Caenorhabditis elegans: one gene and its partner. The protein of the gene in region 1 interacts with the protein of each later gene in a pairwise test. Each region holds a gene or a part of one and is shown on either strand. Other genes may lie near its edges.

Evidence for each region.
Region 2: the proteins of ver-3 (region 1) and arrd-1 interact in a two-hybrid assay, tested with the Caenorhabditis elegans proteins (one large-scale study listed by BioGRID).

The regions. Positions count from the first base shown.
Region 1 is NC_003284.9:10,990,557-10,998,634, forward strand, and holds ver-3 (Tyrosine-protein kinase receptor ver-3), read left to right. Parts: upstream 1-1,920; 5' UTR 1,921-1,974; coding exon 1,975-2,067; intron 2,068-2,452; coding exon 2,453-2,531; intron 2,532-2,595; coding exon 2,596-3,260; intron 3,261-3,308; coding exon 3,309-3,757; intron 3,758-3,937; coding exon 3,938-4,283; intron 4,284-4,335; coding exon 4,336-4,616; intron 4,617-4,666; coding exon 4,667-5,155; intron 5,156-5,201; coding exon 5,202-5,458; intron 5,459-5,506; coding exon 5,507-5,633; intron 5,634-5,702; coding exon 5,703-5,991; intron 5,992-6,034; coding exon 6,035-6,144; intron 6,145-6,197; coding exon 6,198-6,425; intron 6,426-6,493; coding exon 6,494-6,599; intron 6,600-6,645; coding exon 6,646-6,810; 3' UTR 6,811-7,295; downstream 7,296-8,078. Other genes in the region: F59F3.6 (Potassium channel tetramerization-type BTB domain-containing protein), read right to left, coding at 7,519-7,602, 7,645-7,804, 7,849-7,973, 8,036-8,078. UniProt on the Caenorhabditis elegans protein: Receptor tyrosine kinase which may be involved, downstream of pvf-1, in the positioning of ray 1, the most anterior ray sensillum in the male tail.
Region 2 is NC_003280.10:625,609-629,415, reverse strand, and holds arrd-1 (Arrestin C-terminal-like domain-containing protein), read right to left. Parts: upstream 1,912-3,807; 5' UTR 1,903-1,911; coding exon 1,699-1,902; intron 1,652-1,698; coding exon 1,394-1,651; intron 1,320-1,393; coding exon 906-1,319; 3' UTR 758-905; downstream 1-757.

The DNA of each region.
Region 1 (8,078 bases):
CTGCGCGAAAATTGACACGAGCCTACATGGGTTAATTCGCGTCGAATGAACGGTATATATAGATGTTGTTGTTGTTCCGTGCGCCATATCCCTCTCATTGACCCTTATCCGTTTTCCTCTTCAATGGCCTTTTCGTTCCTCTCGGATGCATTGTTCTGCCAGGAACACTCTTCATTCACAGCCGCTCCATGTATTATCTACACCTAACTGCCTGCGTCTCTGTGGGTAGTGTCGTTCCCTCGTACAGTGCATTGCTCGGTCAGGTACCTTCTGCTGCCTCTCTCTCTCTCGTCTCGGTGTCATTGTGTTCCCGCACCCCGTCTGTCTCTAGCTGTAGAGAATGGTTTTTGTTTTCGTCGGATTAGTGTATTCAAATTGGTTCAAAGCAGCTAGACTGTAATTATTTATTTCGGGTATTCCTGATATAGTTATCGTTTTTTTTTTAAATTTCAAAAAGAAATGATGAGTCAGCATATGGAGCTTGGTTATTCATTTCTTTTGTAGAATACAGCGCAAATGAGCAATAACAGCTGGTTTCTGTTTAAACACTTTTCACTGACATGATATATGTTAGAACGTTTGAGATGTGCCAATTTTCAAACAAAAAACGAACAGATTATTCGTTTATCCTGTGACTCAACTAGTATTGAAACATTCAGGGTTTTAAGTAAAGTCTAAAAGAACGTTATTTGTCATGAGTAATAGAATTATGACACCATGAGTTATTCATATGCATCATTTTTATCATGAAGACATGCTGCGATTTCCAACTTATGTTCGTTTTATATAGTTCTAGTTTTATGAAAAAACAAACAACCAACATTTTTTTTAATATCGTTAATCGTTTCAATCTTAAGAAAAGTTCCTCTGATATATTGCTTCATGCTTTGGAACATTTTTTTCTTATTAAATCATAACGATCTTTATCTTATCATAACCGACGGAAAAAGGACAATGTAATGTATAACTTCTATTATCTCTCCGTTCCTTGCAAAATAGATAAGATATATCCAATTTATTCGTGTTGAACTAATTTATCTTCTTTCAAAATTCTTTCGTTTACTTTGATGTTACGGAATTCTAGTTCAACACACTTTCCGACGACCCATGCAATACTTTCAATTTGCATTCCCTCTTCGCACTACGTTTTATGTCTTCCGCCGTTCGGTATTGTGCCCTAACATTGTATATTTAATCAGGATTTAGGTGCCTGACCCTTTTTATTTACCTACTAACACATACTCATGTCGATCCCGAACGCAGGTGTTTGCTTGACATTACCAACTATATATTTGGCACCTTATCCGCTCGTCTCATTTCCCATTTCCTTCCTGCTTGTGACCTAATAATAACTGTCTAAGCAATTTAAAGGTCGGAGAGTTCATGAAGTCAGCTGTCAAATGTTGCGGAACACCACACATGCGTTCTTAATTATGCATGTACAGTCTGCTCCGTACCACCTGCCAGCCCAGAATGACCGTATTTTTACATATAATTTCAAAGCATGGTTCACCCGCATAGGAAGCCTACTTCTACTATATTTTGAGAATTTTCAGACTTGATAGTGCTCATGACTCATATGTAATATTCATTGTTAGAAAATTTGTCTTTTGATGGTTTCAATTTTTGTCTGTTTGCATGATGTTTTCCTGCTTTTCCTCCTTTCCTCTCATCTTTCTCCACTGTTTCTCCTTCACTCACTTTACCATTTTTCTGTCGTCTTCCCCGCTCATTCCTGCCTGTTTTCAAAGTGTTGGAATCAATATGCCCCGCACCTCGCCTCCCCGCGGGGGTTTTGCGATGCGTCATCCTACTTTTCCCTTTTCACCCAAAAATGCTTTCAATTTTATTATTGTTTTGCCTACGGACGCTACTAAATTCTTCTCGTCTATTTAGAAAATTAAAATCTATTCTAAATTAATTTACAGAACCGAACCGAATGAAACATCAGTGCACAAGAACAATTTTTCTGAGATGAAATTGAAGCTCACGGTACTTCTAATACTGGTTCATGCCAGTGCATCATACAAACCGCCCGCAATCGAAGTTGAGGATTATCAAGTTCAGGTTTGTATTTCTTAAACTTGAGAATCTATCTAAATCGAAATTAATTATTTATATAAATTTAAAAGACAATCGGAAAAAAACTTCGCTCTAAAATTGGATAATCTGACTCGTTTGTCTTTTATGTCGGAGCTGTTTGAGACACATTCTATTAAAAAATATAGTGAAATGAGCTTCGGTTCGTTATAAAAATAATAACGTATGGAATGTTTTTGTAAAATTTAGGAAATTGCCATTTCTAAACCAAGAGAGTGAAAATCCATTTCAAAGTTAATTTAAAGTAAAAAACAAATGATATTTGCCTTTAATTTGAAATTAAGGGCATAGAATACATAAGTACCTGAGTTTGTGTAGAAGCAGATATCTATCTTACAGTAAATTTGTTCAGGAACATGACAGCATAGGAAAGTTCGTGGAACTAGAGGAACATACCCGCCTTATCCTAAAGTGCTCTGCACATCATAATGGTGAGTGTTTTTTTTTCTTCAACATTTATGCACGTTTTTGTCGACAAAAAAAATTATGTTCCAGGCGATCTCAAATACAATTTCCCAAGTATGGAAGGGAACGTTGGTTATGACGAAAATAATTTCAAGAAACGTATGGAAGAATATTATGATGACGCATTTGGAGATAAAGTTCTCACTCTCAATGACGTTCGAGAATCGGATACTGGAACATATTCATGCTCTTCAATGGAACATTCGTCATTAAACGATACTATCTACGTGTTTGTTCATCGAAAAAAAGTTTTCCTGCCACTCAAGTCGGTGATGATCATATACAAGCAAGGAGAAGTTATGGTCCCTTGCAAAACAACGAAATTTGTGGATAAAAGTGACATCGAATTATACGCCAGTAATGTTCTTGTGAAAGAAGCTTCTAAATACAATTATGATCAACGATATGGATTTAAAATCACCAAAAAATTGTACAGCGAGAAGCAAATTGTAGATGTTAATTTTGAATGCAGATATAAAAAAGAAGAGAATCAAACAGCAACATATATCATCACTGAAAAAGAAGCAAGTTCGGATGACGGTTATCATTTTTCCTGGGAAAAGGGTTTTCAGTGGCCCCATGTTGGGTACAACTTCTCCCTCACGTGTAACCTCAACTACAACGGTTCGAAAATCTTTCACGGCTACACGAACAAACTTTCCATCGAATGTCCTCAATGTTCACATGATCCAGGGGTAAATCAACCTAGTTTAAAAGTAGCATTATTAATACTTTACTTACAGAGCCATGTACACGTTGATCGACACCGCATCATAGGAAATAAGATATCAACAACCGTCCGCATCCAACATTTAGAGTTGGAAGACTCTGGAAAATATACATGTATTTGGGAGCATGAAAACAAAGAAACAAAATACACCGACTATCATCTTTACGTTGCACCAAAGAAAGCTCAGATCAAGGTGATTGAAACAAGCCCTACAATTATGAGAATCAAGGAAAACCGTGCCACTTCTCTCACCGCGAAGTTTGCAATCTACCCATTTGAAAAAGAAAGCTACACTGCAAAATGGAGTCGAATTTATAACTCTTCAATTCATGAAGGACCACAAAGCGAGACGATTATCAATGACGACTTTCGAAAGATTGCTGCTACATCTTTTGGAGATGGGGCGTTTTCAGAAAATTTGGACATCAAAGCTTTTGCCGTCTCGACAAACATGAGTGGAACGTACGTTTTTTCAAGAGTTAAAAAAAATGATGGAGAATATAAGATTAAGATTTTATTATATGCATTTAGCAACAATTTAACTTCAATTTTTTCGACAGAGTTTTCATTGCCCTAATTTAAAAAAAATATAGAAAATAATTAAGTTCCGCTTAATTACCCCCACAATTAATACTCTTACAGGTACGTTCTCTCCATTTCACACATGGACACAGTGCAAGTCGTTCAATGGGAGGTTGCAATTGAGAATGATGAGCCAGATGTGCAAATTACCGTCCGTGAACCTTCGTCGTTCTTCATCTCCAACCAAGAGTACTATAAACCTGACACCAATCTCCACATTGAATGCATCTCAATTTCAATTCCTCCGGCAGATGTTGTCTTTGAGTATAAAACAAAAAATTCCGAACAATTTCAAGAAATTGAACCGAATAAGTTGGTCAGCGTAGGTGGCACATTTGACAGAGGTTTGATTTACAATGTGACGTTTACGGAAGGCATGGATCTGAAATGCTCGAGTATCAGAAAGGTAACGATCGTAATTTTAAACTGCGAAACACTACAAAATACAAATTTTTCAGGGAAATAGAGCAATTACAGTCAATAAGTTAATAAAAATTGGTGAAGGTTTTGAGGTCCGTCCTCACCACGAAAAAAGCAGCAAAGCCACTGAATCGGAACCTTCGAAAATTATATATGAAGGAGATAACGTCAAATTAACATGCGTGTTTCCTCTCGATTCAGATGATTGGAGTGTTTCGTGGCGTTTTGAAAATTCAAAATCATCAGACATTTCTTCAATACCGACGACAACAGAAACAGAGATAAAGCAGTATTCCAAGCACCTCATTCTCAATTTGAGGTAAGCATATTATTAGTTTTTATTTTAACCTGCTGAAATAAACATTTCAGGGATGTTACTACAAGCTTCACTGGCACATATACATGCGTGGTCAAGAATGAAGACTCCGAAAAACTACTGGAAACTTCAATCGACGTGAAAGCCATTTCAAAACCGTCCATTACAGGCGGAAATTCCAACGCTGTTGTGATAGTAGATTACGATCAATATTTTGAAATTAATTGCAATATGACTGGTACCCCGCCGCCCGTATACCAATGGTTTAAAGATGGAAATCCATATACTCATGGAGATGTTGATGGAAGTATACTTCGTGTTTCAAGAGCCAGAGGTGAAGATGATGGAGAATTTCATTGCCTGGCCACCAACCGTGCTGGAGACAAACTTAATTCCATTGAAGTTCAAGTAAACAATGCACCAAAAGGATCATTGTTTTTCTATTGGTTTTTAGCCTTGTTATTACTTATCTCCATCATAGCTGTTTTTCTTCTTACATGCAAACTGCGAGCATCAAACCGATTGACAAAGCAGAAAGATATGTAAGTGTTCAGTAACATTAAACATTTGAGCATACTCCAATTTCAGAGCTTTGAACACACTTTACGAAACGATGATCAAACATCAAGCAGGACCACTTCCAGAAGAAATGAAGGATCTTCCAGTTGAAGAACGAACATATTATCTTCCATATAACAATGATTATGAAATTGACCCTGTCAATCTTGAAATTTTAAATCCAATTGGCTCTGGTCACTTTGGTGTCGTAAAGAAAGGTCTTTTGGGAATGGCATACCCTAAAAGCAAAATTGAGTCGAAAACTCGCCTTCCTGTTGCTGTGAAAAGTTTGTTTACAAAACTTGTTGAATTTTTTCTCAAGTTATTAATTTTAGGCTCCACAAACCCATTCAACGTTGAGCTTCAGAAAATGATGGCAGAAGAACTGAAAGTTATGTGTGCCATTCCAAAGAATCCCAATGTTCTGGCTCTTATTGGCGCTGTAACTAAAAACATGAGACAGTAAGTTTTAATTTCAAAAATGAAAACAAATTTGATTGCAGTTTCTCAAACCATGTTTAATATTTGCAGGGGACAACTCTACATTGTAACGGAATTCATTGACGGTGGAAATTTGCGCGAATTCCTTCAAGCGCATAGAAATACATTCATTAACGAACTTGTTGAAGACGAGCATGTTCCAGTTGACGATAGTTATCTGGTCCCAAATAGTGTGAAGAAGAAAATATACAAATTTGACGAGAAGTTGGGAGAAGGAACAAGATTGCTAGTTGAAGATCCAGATGCACTTTGTACCTCGGATCTTTTATCTATTGGACTTCAAATTGCAAAAGGAATGGCTTGGCTTGCAGATGTTCCCGTAAGTAAAACTGTGCAAGAGCTCTGAAAATATTTAATTTTAGTGTGTTCATCGTGATTTGGCTTGCCGAAATGTTCTCATTACCAAAACGAAAATTGTTCGTATTGCTGATTTTGGTCTTTCGAAGAAACATACGAATAAAACCTACTATAGGTGAGATTTATCATTAACATAGATTCAAAATGAAATTTATTTTTGAATTTTAGGACGAAGAAGAGCAAGGATACTCCACTCCCAGTTCGATGGATGCCGTTAGAGTGTATTGAAGAATTTAAATTCACTCAAAAATCTGATGTCTGGTCTTTTGGAATTTGTCTCTATGAGATCTTCACATTAGGCGGGACTCCATATCCAAATTGTGATACTTTCAACGTTATTGAATTCATTCGAAATGGAAATCGAAACAAACAACCAGAATACTGCCATGACGAAATGTGAGTTTGGGGAATTTTTAAAACGAATACACGTTATTTTCAAATTAATTCTAAAAGCAATCGTTCAGTTATGAGCTAATGAAAGTGTGCTGGCAATTTAATCCAAAAGATCGTCCAACATTCAATGATTGTATCACGTTCTTTGAAAATCATATGCGAGATTCTTCTAGCCAGGTAACTTTTGTGTAAAACTTATGCAGTTCTTCAATTTTATTTTCAGTTTCTTGAACGCGTCGAAAACATGTTGCACACGGAAATGCAAGAACAGTCAAAACTTGATGATTGGATTCAAGATTCGCGTCCTGATGTCCCTAATGTGTCATTCCAAAAGTCTCCGAAAAAACAAAAGGAAGAAAGATATTTGATCGTAGAAAGTCATGCCTAGTTTCTTTGATTTTGGTTAAACCAACTGACTCTGGCATTTTCTAGAATATCAAACTTGTGACATATTTTTTCTTGTATTTATTTTCAAACATTCCAATACCAAAAAAACTACTGCCCTCCATCCCCACCCCTTTCATTGTTTCCTGCTTCTATTAGGAGAGAAAAATTAGCAAACTTTCTAGATCTAAATGATGAACACCTCTTTTTTATTGTGTCAACGTCGGCGACAAGAAACAGGGAAAATTTATCAATTAAATCAAAAATAACAGTTGTGATTGAAATTCAATTTCATTTTCCTAATTTTAGCTCACCTTTAAAGTAATCAACTTAATAATCAATTCAATTCCCATTCCCCTCCCTTCCCCCCATCAAAAATTTACGGTTCGTTCCAATAGTCAATCGCAAACTCACACACTCGGTTCAATTTTTCGTTTTTCTTTTCTTTTTTTAATGATTAGATAAATAAATCCTTGTTATATTTTTAATGTGAGCATGTAAGAACAAGAAATGATTACAAGCAGAAAATCATCCTGCAATGTTTTTCAGAAATTAAAGAATATCACTTCGGACAGTTTTGGACAATGTGCTTAATGTACAAAAACAAAGCAATTCAACAGTAGGTAATATTTATTTGATAATCTGAAAATTAATATCGCAAAAATAAAATGAAAAGCGTTGAAATGAAATTTCTAAAAAGATTAGGCCAATTTCACAGATTATCCCATTCGTCGTATGCAGAGTTTGGCTGATATTCTTCTTCATTTGTTGGCTTTTTTTTCAATGCAATTTGATTCTAAAGTATTCAATACAAAACAATTCACAAGGTTGAAAAAACCTGCTCTCGTTCAAATTGCCAACTTTCAAAATCGCGTAGGGTAACTTGGACGTACGAAGTGACATAGTGTTGCTCCTCTGTTCTTTGATACTTTTGAAGCAAGTCAAGAGCCAGCTCTTTGAGCTCTGCCAAATTCAAAGCTTCGCATTCACCGACCAACCTAGATAAATTCAGAATGAAGTGAAACAAGAAATGAAAATTTACTTTGCAAGATCATCCGGTTTACTGGGGAGAGCAAGTGATGGGACAAACTTTTCTTTTTTCAATCGAAGATAAGCAAGGATGTGTCGGAAACATTTAGCGTCACGATCAAGGTAGTAGTTACCTCCCTAAATCAAAAAAAATTGTTTCTGATGATTGTGATGCTGCTCTAAAACGGTTTTGAGAGTACCTTGTCTGTTGCGATTGGCTTCAATGTTCCAGGTTTAAACCAT
Region 2 (3,807 bases), on another chromosome or scaffold:
AAATAGATTGACAGACAAAAAATAGATTGACAGACGAAAAAATAGATTGACAGACGAAAAATAGATTGACAGACGAAAAATAGATTGACAGACAAAAAATAGATTGACAGACAAAAAATAGATTGACAGACGAAAAAATAGATTGACAGACGAAAAAATAGATTGACAGACGAAAATATAGATTGACAGACGAAAAAATAGATTGACAGACGAAAAAATAGATTGACAGACGAAAAATAGATTGACAGACGAAAATATAGATTGACAGACAAAAAATAGATTGACAGACGAAAAAATAGATTGACAGACGAAAAAATAGATTGACAGACGAAAAAATAGATTGACAGACGAAAAAATAGATTGACAGACGAAAAAATAGATTGACAGACGAAAAATAGATTGACAGATGAAAATTAGATTGACAGACGAAAAAATAGATTCGGTGAACCCAGAGAGTAAAATATTTAGAAACTTGACATTTTTTCTGAAAAATTTGAATTTCCCGCAAAAATTTTTGTTTGTTTTTTCTGGACATTTTTTCCTTTTTAATAAAAAATTTGTTTAAAAAATTTTGACCTCGTGGCACTCCCGAATTATCCGAGTTATTGTATAAGTTCAAAAAAGTCACAAATATTTATTTTTACGCCCAATCACTTAGAGTTCAACAGTTACCTATTCAATGCGGAGGACATTTCGCGGATCCGAAAATGTCTAAAGTCCGAACCCGTAATATGTCGGGGAACAAAATTTAGTAATCTTTCTGTTTATTGTTTATTGTTCATAGTTCGGCAATACGGTTATAGAAATTACAATTTAAGGTGAAGATCTGAATAAAATTTAACGGAAAGAGTAAGAGTTGGGGAAGATATATTGAAAAGTTATAAAATCGTAAAGTTCATGTAAGTTCACGCAGTGTATGGTGGTGGTGGTGGAGTTTTCAAGGCTTCATCCTTTTTCTCCTCACTTTCCAGCTCTCCAATAGAAACTACGAGAGCTAGCGCCGGGTCTGTCGTGAGCCAGGAGTCAGTTACCAATCCGAATTTCATGGTGTACTTCAAGGACGATCCGCAAGTGTGGAAGCTTGCTGTCAAATCTGTTGGGATTGTAAACGGTATGGTGAACTTTTGAGTTGAGTATGGAGCTACTAAAACGTGCATTTTCCCCTTAGCCTTTGTGTTGCCATATATGTGATAAAGGGGAAAAGGTTCTGCTTCGAGCTCGGCATAGATTTTTTTGACAGTTGATGAGCTATGATTCTCCACTTCCAATTTGAATTCGGTGGTCTCGCCAGGATATAAGGTGAACTTGGGCATTGTAACCTGGAAATTACAAAGTTAGTGAGAAAAAAGTACTGAACATTGGCAAAGATTCGTTTCTGCGTCTACTAGCTCACCTTAAATGTCGGCTGTCCGTTTGAAAACAATGCATCAAATCTTGGACTACTTGTATAAGTCATAACTTGACTCATTTTCTGATCGGCCAGCTTGTGAACCATCTTGAATTCTTTTTCAATGAACAAAGGTCGCGACCATGGTTGGTCAATCTCCAGACGCACTTTGTAGATAATTTTCCCATCCTTGTATGTCGGTGGACAATCTTTTCCTAGTTCGAACTGAAATTTTTGTTCAAGGCGGCCTACTGGGAGCTCATTCTGAAAAATTGAGTTAGATGTTGAAAAAAAAAGAACTAAAACAGTACCTTTCCGTCCTTGCAAATCCATGCAATCCCGTATTTATTCAAGAATGATACAGTTCGGTTTCTAAATCCTCTGCATCTAAACATTACAGATCTGGCATTCAGTGGTCTCTTGGTATCAACCGAAACTGTAAGCTTCATGTTGTCACCTGGGTAGTAGACTGGTTTGTCGAAGGAGATGTCAAGGATCGGATCAGTAGAGCTCATTCTGCAAAAGTGATGAAAAATCGATGAACAACGACAGAAAAAGAATATGCAATGAGTCTACGAGTCGCTACTCAGCCAATTGGCATTTCACTGAGTAGCGACTCGATATATTAAACTTGTAACTACTTTAGATGTGTTGAGTTTAACGGTAAAACCTTGGTTTTAAAGACAAATTTGTAAAATGTGGAACGTGTTAGAAGACCAAAAAAACGAGAAAGAAATGCAAGGACGTGTACAAAAATGACGGAGCAAATGAACGGGCTGCGATTTTATGCACCTGTCCTCCGCCCGCCCATCTTGCGGCTCTTTCAGATCGTGTTGTCTAATCCATCTCAGTGACTCTTGTATTAGCGCTCTTTCTCTAATTGACCATTTTCCCATTCTCTGGCAGATGGTGCGTTTATCTGATAAAGCAGTATTAAACGGCAAATTACAGTGCATCACAGGTAACAGCAGCTGTTAAGCTTGCTTAAGACTAGAAAAAACTTACGTAGTAGTTTAGTTTGATTTCCGGAAAAATTCAAAAACTGTAAAATTCATCAACTAATGAAACTATGGAAACCAAGCTATTCCAATTTCAAGTCGCTACTCAACCAATTGGCATTACACTGAGTAGCGACTCGGTGAACTGGATATTGACATAACTTTTTAAACTTGAACACGAGAAGCTTAATTCTAGAAGCAAGCTTGTAGAAAAAAGTTTTGTAAATACTGGCAAGGTGTGATACATCTTCGACCATGTTTCTAGCATGTAGTCGCTGCTCAGCCAATTCCAAATCACTTTTAGTCCAACTTTCCTTTTTGAAATAAGTTTCAAGCTCATCGTTGAGCAAAGTTATCACTATTTCAACAAATTCGCTGAGTAGCAAGCAACTCAGAAACTTTCAGACCCTGTAACTTACAAACTGAAAATTTACAATTATTTGCATTCAAAAGCCATCATCAGGCTGTGCTTGATCCTCAATTTTCACCCAAATCCGACGACTTTTGACGAAACTCCATACAGTTACCAAGACGCTACTCAGCCAATTACCAAAACTGACCTATACTTTGCTCAGCTATGAGCTAGAAACATGGGTTTAAAAGTAAATTGTAGTACATAAAATTTTGTAATAAATGGTGTAGTGTGATACGGAGCCATAAAAATTGGCTGAGTAGCGACTCACTCAAAAATTAAAACTGCCTTAACTTTGTTCATTTCAGCAGTTGCACATTGGTACAAAAAGCAAAAGTGTTGAGCTGAAATGTTTGTTGTAAATTTTTTTATGTTCAATACATTTTCCCATCTGTTCACCTAACTTTTCTCCGTATCCCTGCGTCTCTCTCTCTATCCCTCGGGAACCCCCCACTCACACAGAGAAGACCTCCTCCCTCTGTCTTTATTGTCTGCGTCTCTCCCGTCCCCACACTCTCTCCCATATTTTTGCAGTGATCCCATTCTTTCTCTCACGTCCAGTCACTGACCTGTACACACACACATTGTGACACACAATTTTCCTTCCCCTTTTTTGCAGTTCTTAATTAGAAATTTTTGCGGATTTTGGGGGAGGGGGGCGGTTGGCAAACTGAGCAATTTTGTAAAAAAATGAAAAATATATTACTTGATAATATTTATAATTTTATTTGGGTTATCAAAGACATGGTTTTTTTTCAGTAATTTTACAAAAAAAAACAAAAAATTGAATAAATTTCATATCGTTATAGCTCAAAAGTGGGCGGAGCCAGAGCAAAAATTTAGAATGAAAAAATGCTCAGAATTCAATTTTCTATAATATATCATCCTCTGAAATTCCAGGGTTTCACAATTTTTCCCCCAAAAATCGGACATTTTTAAGACGAAGCTCGACCGCTTTGGCTTATAGCCAATAAGTGGGCGGAGCCCGAGCAAAAATTTTGTATGGAAGC